3 linked regions of the Callithrix jacchus genome follow. The protein of the gene in region 1 interacts with the protein of each later gene in a pairwise test. Links are inferred from orthologs where the notes say so. Each region holds a gene or a part of one and is shown on either strand. Other genes may lie near its edges. The genes, in order: L3MBTL2, MEAF6 and ZFY.

The links.
Region 2: the proteins of L3MBTL2 (region 1) and MEAF6 interact in binary tests that used the Homo sapiens proteins (3 or more experiments, as listed by UniProt). The two-hybrid records come from large-scale screens. The link is inferred for Callithrix jacchus from reciprocal best matches to the Homo sapiens genes L3MBTL2 and MEAF6.
Region 3: the proteins of L3MBTL2 (region 1) and ZFY interact in binary tests that used the Homo sapiens proteins (3 or more experiments, as listed by UniProt). The two-hybrid records come from large-scale screens. The link is inferred for Callithrix jacchus from reciprocal best matches to the Homo sapiens genes L3MBTL2 and ZFY.

The regions. Positions count from the first base shown.
Region 1 is NC_133502.1:192,016,925-192,020,575, reverse strand, and holds part of L3MBTL2 (lethal(3)malignant brain tumor-like protein 2), read right to left. Parts: intron 3,450-3,651; exon of another isoform or gene 3,355-3,449; intron 2,096-3,354; coding exon 1,962-2,095; intron 1-1,961. UniProt on the Homo sapiens protein: Putative Polycomb group (PcG) protein. PcG proteins maintain the transcriptionally repressive state of genes, probably via a modification of chromatin, rendering it heritably changed in its expressibility.
Region 2 is NC_133508.1:74,062,419-74,066,069, forward strand, and holds part of MEAF6 (chromatin modification-related protein MEAF6), read right to left. Parts: intron 1,846-3,651; coding exon 1,758-1,845; intron 1,625-1,757; coding exon 1,579-1,624; intron 1-1,578.
Region 3 is NC_133525.1:4,094,492-4,098,142, forward strand, and holds part of ZFY (zinc finger Y-chromosomal protein), read right to left. Parts: intron 1,860-3,651; coding exon 1,707-1,859; intron 615-1,706; coding exon 474-614; intron 1-473. UniProt on the Homo sapiens protein: Probable transcriptional activator. Binds to the consensus sequence 5'-AGGCCY-3'.

The sequences.
Region 1 (3,651 bases):
GGTTTAAACCCAAAACAAACCTGGGGGCTAATCCCAGTTCTAAAATTTTCAGTTGTTTACCTTTAAGTGAGTTACTAAAATTTCTTTTTTTTTTTTTTGAGACAGAGTTTCACTGTTGTTACCCAGACTGGAGTGCAATGGCACAATCTCAGCTCACCGCAACCTCCACCTTCTGGGTTCAAGCAATTCTCCTTCCTCAGCCTCCCGAGTAGCTGGGACTACAGGCACGCACCACCATGCCCAGCTAATTTTTGTATTTTTAGTAGAGACAGGATTTCTCGACTGCGCCCGGCCGAGTTACTAAAATTTCTGAGCCTTTAAAAAGGAATTTTTTGGGCCAGGCATGGTGGCTCAAGCCTGTAATCCCAGCAATTTGGGAGGCCAAGGCAGGTGGGTCACAAAGTCAGGAGTTCGAGACCAGCCTGACCAATATGGTGAAACCCCGTCTCTACTAAAAATACAAAAATTGGCTGGGCATGTGTGGCACCCGCCTGTAGTCCCAGATACTCCGGAGGCTGAGGCAAGAGAATCGCTTGAATCCAGGAGGTGGAGGTTGCAGTGAGCCGAGGCCACTGCACTCCAGCCTGGGTGACAGAGCAAGACTCCATCTCAAAAAAAAAAAAAGGAATTTTTTGGCTGGGTGCAGTGGCTCATGCCTGTAATCCCCGCATTTTGGGAGCCTGAGGTGGGCCGATCACAAGGTCAGGAGTTTGAGACCAACCTGGCCAACATAATGAAACGCTGTCTCTACTAAAAATTATCTGGGTGTTTTGGTGGGCACCTATAATCCCAGCCACTTGGGAGGCGGAGGCAGGGGAATCACTTGACCCTGGGAGGCGGAGGTTGCAGTGAGCCAAGATTGTGCCACTGTACTCCAGCCCAGGTGACAATGTGAGACTCTGTCTCAAAAAAAAAGGAATTTTTCTAAAAATCAATTTTTTCAGGGTCATTGATTTGACTGAGAATGTCAAGCCCTTTAAAGTACTCCCAAACTGTAGCTATTAATATTACCAATATTATTATTAGCTCTTTGAGGAGAGGGATCTTTCTGTGTCTTGACTAAAATCTACAAAATGGGGGAAACAATGATAATTGTCTCACAAAGGCAATACAGTGTATGAAGCAGGAAGCAGAACGATCTTGCGCACAGCAATTTCCAATAAACGTTGGTGGTTCTCAAGGTTTGCGGCACAGGAAGATCACCTGTGGCGCTCTTTAATCTCTCTGTCCAGGCTACACTCCATCCCAATTAAATCAGAACCTTGAGGAGTAGGACCGAAGCATCAGTATTTTTTAATTAAAACTTTCCAGGTGATCCCAACATGCAGGCTAATTTGGGAAGCAGTGTTGCAGATGCTGATCACAGCTACTGGGAAACAACATAAGACCAGGCCCCTGAAGTTGGGTTCCAGCCTCAGTTCTGCCACTCTCTTCCTACAGAGCCACACCAGGTATGTCATTCTACCTCCTTGGACTTCAGTATACTTATCAATAAATGTGTGGGTTCAACACCACATTCAATAATCTTTCCATGTCTCAAAAATTGGCAAGACTTTCTAGGTAGCTGCCTGTGACACGGAGTCACATGAGGCATGGTCTTCCTGAAGTCACCATGGCCGGTGAACCTTGGGTCTGCTTCCCAGCTTTCTTTCAAAGGATTTATACAAGTGTGGGGTGAAGACCAAGGGTGTCCTACTCCCCAGGGTTCTTGTTTAAAACGTACTGAGTACCCCAGACTCTGGGGGATGAAGGTAGGGAATGTAGGGTAGCTTCAGGAATCTATAAATTAACAAGCTCTATAAATGAATTATTCTATCCTCTGAAGTTTGAGAACATAATAAATACCAGAGGGCCATAAGCAAGATGCTTTTCAAACCTTCCTGGCCCTTGCCTCCAGTCAATTGGTGGCTCCTGTCTCAGCACCGAGGGTTCTGGGGAGGACCAAAGTAGCTGCCTCTCACCTGTAATCTGGCCAAGATACTGGCTTTCTTGGAGTTGGAGGAGTAGCTCCTGGAGCAGGAGACGCTGCAGAACCTCTTGGTCTTGGAGAAGAAGGCTTCCCGTGTACCCACGATACCACACATCTCACAGACAGCTGGGAAGAGAACTTAGCACATGACTCAGCTGCTACAGCCACCTCAAAGCAAACAAAATGATGGGCCCTTCAAAATATGGGGCACTGTGTTCACCGGGTGAACCCCTGCACCAACAAAGGCTAATGGAATAAGCGGAGGAATGGGAGGTACTGGTGGGTACATCTGAATCCACCTGAACAAAGTGCTGCTGCTTGGCCTCCCTCGACTACGTATGTCAACAGAGAGGCTAATGGGAACCCCTGAGGATGACTCGGGGTACAGGTGAGTGCTGAAAAGTTTGTGAGAGGAAAGTGAGATAGCCAGGTGTGGTAGCTGCTGTCTGTAATCCCAGCACTCTGGGAGACCAAGGAGGGAAGGTTGCTTAAGGGCAGGAATTCGAGACCATCATGGGCAACCTAGCAAGATCTTGTTGCAAAAAAAAAAAGGGCAAGGTGTGATGGCACACGCCTGTTGTCCCGGCTACTTGGGAGGTTAAAGCAGGAGGTGCTTGAACCCAGGAGGCTGAGGCTGTAGTGACTGAGGATCGCACAACTGTACCTCTAGCCTGGGCAACACAGTTAAAACAGTCTCAAAAAATTTATAGGAAGAAAAAGTGCCAAAGTCACTTAACCTCTCTGGCTCTATTTTCTCATCTATATAGTAAGGAGACTGAACTAGATCAGTGTTTTAATCCTGACTTCACTATTAGACCCACCCTGGGAGCTTCTAAAAATGCCCCAGCTGGCCGGGGGCAGTGGCTCATACCTGTAACCCCAGCACTTTGGGAGGCAAGGTGGGTGGATTACCTGAGGTCAGGAGTTTTAGACCAGCCTGGCCAACATGATGAACCCTGTCTCTACTAAAAATACAAAAAATTAGCTGGGCATGGTGGTGGGCACCTGTAATTTCAGCTACTTAGGAGGCTGAGGCAGGAGAATCCCTTAAACCTGGGAGGCAGAGGTTGCAGTGAGCCAAGATTGCACCATTGCACTCCAGCCTGGGCAACAAGAGCAAAACTCCATCTCAAAAAAAAAAAAAAAAAGCCTGAGCCTAAGATATTAATGAATTGGTCTGTGATGGGATACTGGCATCTGTAGTTTGTTAAAAGCTCCCCCAACGATTCTAATATGCAGAAGCCCTGGTCTAAGTGGTCTCTAATGGTTCCTTCTAGTTCTAAATCCTAAGATTCTAAGAGAAGGTTTGGAAGAAGATAGAAGGGGGAAAAATAAAAGGCAAGAGACAAAAAGACAAGATGAGAGCTGGGCATGGTGGCTCACACCTGTAATCCCAGCACTTTGGGAGGCCGAGGTGGGTGGAATCACGAGGTCAAGAGATCGAGACCATCCTGGTCAACATGGTGAAACTGTGTCTCTGCTAAAAATACAAAAAAATTAGCTGGGCATGGTGGCACATGCCTATAGTCCCAGCTACTCAGGAGGCTGAGGCAGGAGAATTGCCTGAACCCAGGAGGCGGAGGTTGTGGTGAGCCGAGATCACGCCATTGCACTCCAGCCTGGGTAACAAGAGCAAAACTCTGTCTCAAAAAAAAAAAAAAAAAAAAAAGACAAGATGAATA
Region 2 (3,651 bases), on another chromosome or scaffold:
AATCAGCTGGGCATGGTGGCGTGCACCTGTAGTCCCAGCTACTTGGGAAGCTGAAGCCTGAACCCAGGAGGTGGAGGTTGCAGTGAGCTGAGATCACACCACTGCACTTCAGCTTGGACAACAGAGTGAGACTCCATCTCAAAAAAAAAAGGAAATGTAGGATTAAAGCCAGGAAAAAGGCAGAGGGCAGAGCCACAGATTTAGAAATCTGTACATGGAGATAATGATTAAGTACTTCTAATTTCCAAACGACTAAAATCCCTTTCCTCATATCACTGCCACAATGCAAACAAAAGAACTAGATCCAACAACAAGATATACCATCTGAAAAGAAGTACACAGTAATACCGAGCACAGGCTGTATTTCAAGGTGATGAAATACACAGAGAACATCCAATACAGCTACACTGAGTCTGACTCAGAAAGATAAATGCACAAATTTATAATCCATCACTGGAAATCAGATTGTATGGCTTACATGCAAAAAAACATTAAGACAGAATTAATTTACAAAGTAAGTGGTACTGTCTCTCCATTTTCCATTTTATATTTAAGAACCGACAGGTACATCCTGTTTACAGGATGACCATTTCTTTTCTTTTTTTTTGACATGGTCTCACTTTGTCACCCAGGCTGGATCAGTGACATGATCATGGCTCACTGCAGCCTCAACTTCCTGGGCTAAAGCGATCCTCTCATCTCAGTTTCTGTAATAGCTGGGACTACAGGCACATGCCACCAAGCCTGGTTAATTTCTTAACTTTTTGTAGAGACAGGGTCTGGCTTGGTCGCCTAGGCTGGTCTTGAACTTCTGGGCTCAAGCGATCCTCCCACCTCTGCATTTCAAAGTGTTGGGATTACAGGCGTGAGCCACTGCATCGGGCCAAGATGAGCATTTTCTAAGAATTATTAAACTGGGTACATGGGTACTTGAGGATTTTTAAGATATATTTGAAATTGTCCATAAAACTTATTGTTTTAATTCCCTAAGAAGTCGTAAGATTTATCAGGAATGACAATATATCTTTCTGTCTTTGAGATGTAAAAGCCAATCTTCATGTGACAGAAGAGGCAAGAAAGGCTGCATAATTTCTTCCTCAAAAGGAAAAAATATGATTTGTCACACATGGTGGCTCACGCCTGTAATCCCAACACTTAGGGAGGCTTAAGTGCGAGGATTATTTAATGCCAGGAATTCCAGACTAGCCTGGGCAACATAGTGAGACCTTGTCTCTTTAAAATATTTAAAAATTAGCCAGGTGTGGTGGCAGATGCCTGTGGTCCTAGCTACCTAGGAGGCTGAGGCAGGAGGACTGCTTGAGCCTAGGAGTTTGAGGCTGCAGTGAGCTATGATCATGCTACTGTACTCCAGAGCTTGGGCTACAGAGTAAGATCTTGTCTGAAGTGGGGAAGTGGAGAAAACATGATTAAGGATACCCTAAAAGTTTAATAACTTCTAGGAAGAAGAGGGAAGAGCATAAGAAATGCAGTCCTCAGATACACAACCGTATGAATTAAATATAAGGGCTATGGTAGCTTAAAAATAAACTGATGAGAAACATAAAAACATAAACTTACTCTTTTCAATGAGCGGGTCCTGAACTCCTGCCAATGCACTTACTGCCTAAAAGAAAAGCCACCAGTTACTAGGAAAGTGACCACAGACCTCAGAAGAGCATTCCCAGAGGAAAGGAAGGAGAAAACTCACATTCCCCAACAACAGCCCACAGAAAGATTCCCCCACCGCCACCACTTACAGCTGCTGAGGTAACTGAGGATTTGCTGAAGAGTCGCTCAGCTTCCTTAAACTTCCGGTTCCTTCGATCATTTTTGCTATTGGAGTTTCTAAAACACACAGAAGAATCTCATTATGAGCACCAAGCTATGTCTATGGCTCAAGCTAGGAATGCCCCAGGACCCATGTTCCATACAGGAAGCCTCCAAATCACTTAAAATGGCCCAAATGACCTTTACACTGAACACAGAAAGCAATGTTTCCAATATATGGTATATGCCCCACTGTGGGACATGAGATTTAGTTGCTTCACATGTTCATTTTATGTATGTATGTATGATAAAGTCTTGCTCTGTCATCCAGGCTGGAGTGCAATGGCGTAATCTCGGCTCACTGCAATCTCTGCATCTCAAGTTCAAGTGATTCTCCTGCCTCAGCCTCTCAAGTAGCTGGGATTACAGGTGCCTGCCACCATGCCCTGTCACCCAGGCTGGAGTACAGTGGCACAATCTCGGCTCACTGCAATCTCCGCCACCATGCCCAGTTAATTTTTGTATTTTTAGTAGAGACAGGGTTTTGCCATGCTGGCCAGGCTGGTCTCAAACTCCTAACATCAGGTGATCCACTTACCTCGGTCTCCTAAAACGCTGGGATTACAAGCATGAGCTACCATAACCAGCCTTTTTTTTTTTGTTTTTGAGACAATCTCACCCTGTCACCCAGGCTGGAGTGCAGTGACAAAATCTCGGCTCACTGCAACCTCCACCTCCCGGGTTCAAGCAATTCTCCTGCCTCAGCCTCCCAAGTAGCTGGGATTATAGGTGCATGCCACCACACCCGGCTAATTTTTTTATCTCTAGTAGAGACAGGTTTCACCATGTTGGTCAGGCTGGTCTTGAACTGCTCACCTTATAATCCACTCACCTTGGCCTTCTCAAAGTGCTTGGATTACAGGAATGAGCCATTGCACCTGGCCTTATTTTTTTTTTCTTTTTGAAACAGAGTCTCACTCTGTCTCTCAGGCTGGAGTACAGTGGTGCAATTTCAGGTCACTGCAACCTCCACTTTCTGGGTTCAAGTAATTCTCCTGCCTCAGCCTCTATTAGAGTAGCTGGAACTATAGGTGCACCCCACCATGCCTGGTTAATTTTTTTTTTTCTTTGAGACGAAGTTTCAATCTTGTTGCCCAGGCAATGGCGTGATCTCGGCTCACCACAACCTCCACTTCCTGGGTTCAAGCGATTCTCCTGCCTCAGTCTCCTGAGAGTTGGGATTATAGGCATGTGCCACCACAAACAGCTAATTTTATATTTTTAGTAGAGACAGCGTTCTTCCACATTGGTCAGGCTGGTCTCGAACTCCCAATCTCAAGTGATCCACCCACCTTGGCATCCCAAAGTGCTAGGATTAAAGGTGGCATGAGCCACCACACCCAGCCAATTTTTGTATTTTTAGTAGAGATGGGGTTTTGCCTTCTTGGCCAGGCTAGTCTTGAACTCCTGATCTCAGGTGATCTGCCCACCTCAGCCTGCGATTCTAGGCATGAGCCACTGTGCCCAGCCCAAATGTATTTATTTTAATGTTTATTATTTTAAAAGTCCAGAACAGATTAGTGATATGAAGTGTCTCTTAAATAAACTTAATTCTCAAATTTAAAGAAAGAACCAGGGTTCCCAAGAGGAATGGCTGATACCAGGTCTTGGACAGAAAATGCACAAGGTAAATATGGGACATCTTTTGGGCCAGAAAGCAATGGAATGCTCAAAGAGTAATAGGGTCATGTCAAAATGACAAACAAGGCCGGGCGCGGTGGCTCAGGCCTGTAATCCCAGCACTTTGGGAGGCCGAGGCGGGTGGATCACGAGGTCAAGAGATCGAGACCATCCTGGTCAACAAGGTAAAACCCCGTCTCTACT
Region 3 (3,651 bases), on another chromosome or scaffold:
AATTTATGCTAACTAATAGTTATAGGCTTAACTATGCCTATAAATAAATTTTAATATGCAAAGACGCAAAACAACACAGAAAAATAATCTGTCCTATAAATAACCTAAGTAACTTATCCTGCTGCACTGTAAATTATGCCTGTTTGATGCTGCCATCAGTTGATCCATGTAATTTTGTTCACTTAAAATTAGCTAACATTTTAAAAATGTATTTTCCTTTCCACTAAAATCACCAGAGGATTTTAATTCTTTTTCCTGAATGTTTGATGCACACCAGTTTCTTTTTATCCAAGGAAATCATTCTTGAATATTGAAGAATTCTGAAATTCTTTTTTCAAATAAAATACACAAAAATACATGTGGCCTAGCAGCTTAAAGTTCGGTCATTAAAACACCCCTGTGGATACATAATACTATAGTTTCTTCTGACGGCTCTCAGAGCACACTGCACCATGGAACTCATGAACCCTCACCTGTTTGGTACTGCCTGGCATCAGATCTTCTCTTTTTCTTTGGTTTTTGTTTAGTCAGTCTGCTGAGGCCAACAGACTCATCTACATGCAAGACAGCACTTGCACTGCCATTCCGGTTTTCAATTCCATCAGAATTATTACCTAACAATGTGCATTAAAACACAAAATTACACAGCATTATAAATTCTAAAGATTTGGAATTATTTATTAACAATGAGAAATCCTGACATGAATGACAGAAATTCCCTATTTTATTTTATTTTTTATTTTTATTCATTTATTTTTTTGAGATAAGAGTCTTGCTCTCTTACCCAGGCTGGAGTACAGTGGTACACACTTGGCTTACTGCAACGTCCCCATCTTGGTTTCAAGCAATCTCCTGCCTCGGCATCCTGAACAGCTGAGATTACAGGACCACAGCACCATGCCCAGCTCATTTTTTTTTTGTTTTGTTTTTAGTAGTGAGGGGGTTTTGCCATGTTGGCCAGGCTGATCTTAAACTCCTGACCTCGGGTGATGCACCTGCCTCAGACTGCCAAAGTGCTGGGTTTACAGGCCTGAGCCAATACACTCGGCCTGCAATTTTAGATAATGGGTTTTATGGAAATATTTATGGCAAGACCATGGTTAGTACCTAGCTTCTGTATCAAGCAGGATGTTGCTCTATGGGACTCCCTTCTTATCTCCCAAAATTGTAAAGTTATGAGTCACATATAAACCAAGATTTAAAATGTGAGATTGAAAGCTCCTGACTTCTCAAGCCTGTAATCCCAGCACTTTGGGAGGCTGAGGCGGGTGGATCACGAGGTCAAGAGATGGAGACCATCCTGGTCAACATGGTGAAACCCCGTCTCTACTAAAAATACAAAAAATTAGCTGGGCACGGTGGCACATGCCTGTAATCCCAGCTACTCGGGAGGCTGAGGCAGGAGAATTGCCTGAACCCAGGAGGCTGAGGTTGCCGTGAGCCGAGATCGCACCATTGCACTCCAGCCTGGGTAACAAGAGCGAAACTCCTTCTCAAAAAAAAAAAAAAAAAAAAAAAAAAAGCTCCTGGCTTCTTACATAATAAAGTCACGAAAAAAGTTCATATTAAAATTAAAGGCAACAGGGAGACTATGTAATCTTTCTCTACATTTGCTCAAATCCTGAAACTCTAAGACACAGAAACCATTTTCAACAGTTAATTAATGTTCAAAAACATTCAATCCTTCTAGCTACTATGTAACTTACCATAAGCTGCTGCCCATGCAATTGGCACAAAGGTTTTCATTTCGTCCTCATCAATTTGCTGTTCATGCATAGCAGCTGCTGCTACAGTAGCAGGAGCATCCTCTTCTCCTACAATCACTTCCATATAAACTTCATCAGCAATTTCAGCAACGTCTAAGCAGAAAATAAATTTAAAATATTTGTGACTGGGTTTACAGAGATCACACAGAAAAAAATGCATTAGTAGGAAAAAATAGATACTGGTTGAGATAGTCATCTGTTTCTTGGCTTTCACTACAATTTGTTTATAAAGCAACAATCAAAACATACATATCTTTCCTTGGAATATGGCAACACAGTATCGTCCATAACAGTGCTGCTGCTTACTTTTTTCAAATACTGGTTGCATTAAACAACAACAACAACTTGGTCAGGACATGGTGGCTCATGTCTATAATCCCAGCTCTTAGGGAGGCCAAGGCTGGTGGATCACCTGAGGTCAGGAGTTCGAGACCAGCCTGGCCAACATAGTGAAATGCCATCCCTACTAAAAATACAAAAATTATCTGCACATGGTGCTGCACGCTTGTAATCCTAGCTACTCAGGAGGCTGAGGCAGTATAATCACTTAAACTGGAAGCAGAGGTTGCAGGAAGCTGACATTGTGCCATTGCCATCCAGCCTGGCAACAGAGTGAGACTCCATCTAAAAAAACAAACAACAACAACAAAACCCAACTTGTAGAAACATTAAACCATCTCCCCACAAAAAAGCCATATGCTGGCACATATATACCATGGAATACTATGAAGCCATAAAACAGAATGGGTTCATGTCCTTTGCAGAGACAAGTATGAAGCTGGAAACCATCATCTTCAGCAAACTAACAGAGAACGAGAAAACCAAACTGCAGATTCTCACTCATAGGTGGGTGTCAAACAATGAGAACACATGAACACAGGGAGGGGAACATCACACACTGGGACCTGTTGGGGGTGGGGAGAGAAACAAGGGAGAACGTTAGGACAAATACCTAATGGACGTGGGGCTTAAATCCTAGATGATGGGCCAAGCGCAATGGCTCATGCCTATAAATCCCAACACTTTGGGAGGCAGAGGTGGGCAGATCACAAACTCAGGAGATGGAGACTGTACTACCAGGGTGAAAGCCCAACTCTACTAAAAATACAAAACATTGCCAGCCATGGTGGCACATGCCTGTAGTCCCAGCTAAAACTCAGGAGGTTGAGGCAGGAGAATCACTTGAACCTGGGAGGTGGAGGTTGTAGTGAGTCGAGATTGTGCCACTGCACTCCAGCCTGGGCGACACAGCAAGACTTCATATCAAAAGAAAAAACAAAACAAAACAAAAACCCACAAAAAAACCAAAAACCTGAATGATTGGTTCACAGGTGCAGCAAACCACCATAGCATATGTATATCTATGTAACATATCTGTACATTAGCCAGAACAATCAGGCAAGACAAAGAAATAAAGGGTATTCAAATAGGAAAGGAGGAAGCCAAATTGTCTCTATTTGCAGACAACATGATAGTATCGTCTCAGCCCAAAATCTCCTGAAACTGGTAAGCACTTCAGCGAAGTCTCAGGTTACAAAATCAATGTGCAAAAAATCACAAGCATTCCTATAAACCAATAACAGACTTAGAACCAAATCAAGAATAAACTGCCATTCACAATTGCTACAAAGAGGATAAAATACCTCGGAATACAACTAACAAGGAATACAACTTCAAGGAGAACTACAAACCACTGCTCAACTAAATAAGAGAGAACACAAACAGATGGAGAAACATTCCATGTTCATGGTTAGGAACAATCAATATCATGAAAATGGCCATACTGCCCAAAGTAATTTACAGATTCAACGTTATCCCCATCAAGCTACCAATGACATTTTTCACAGACCCGGAAAAAACCACCTTAAACTTTATATGGAACCAA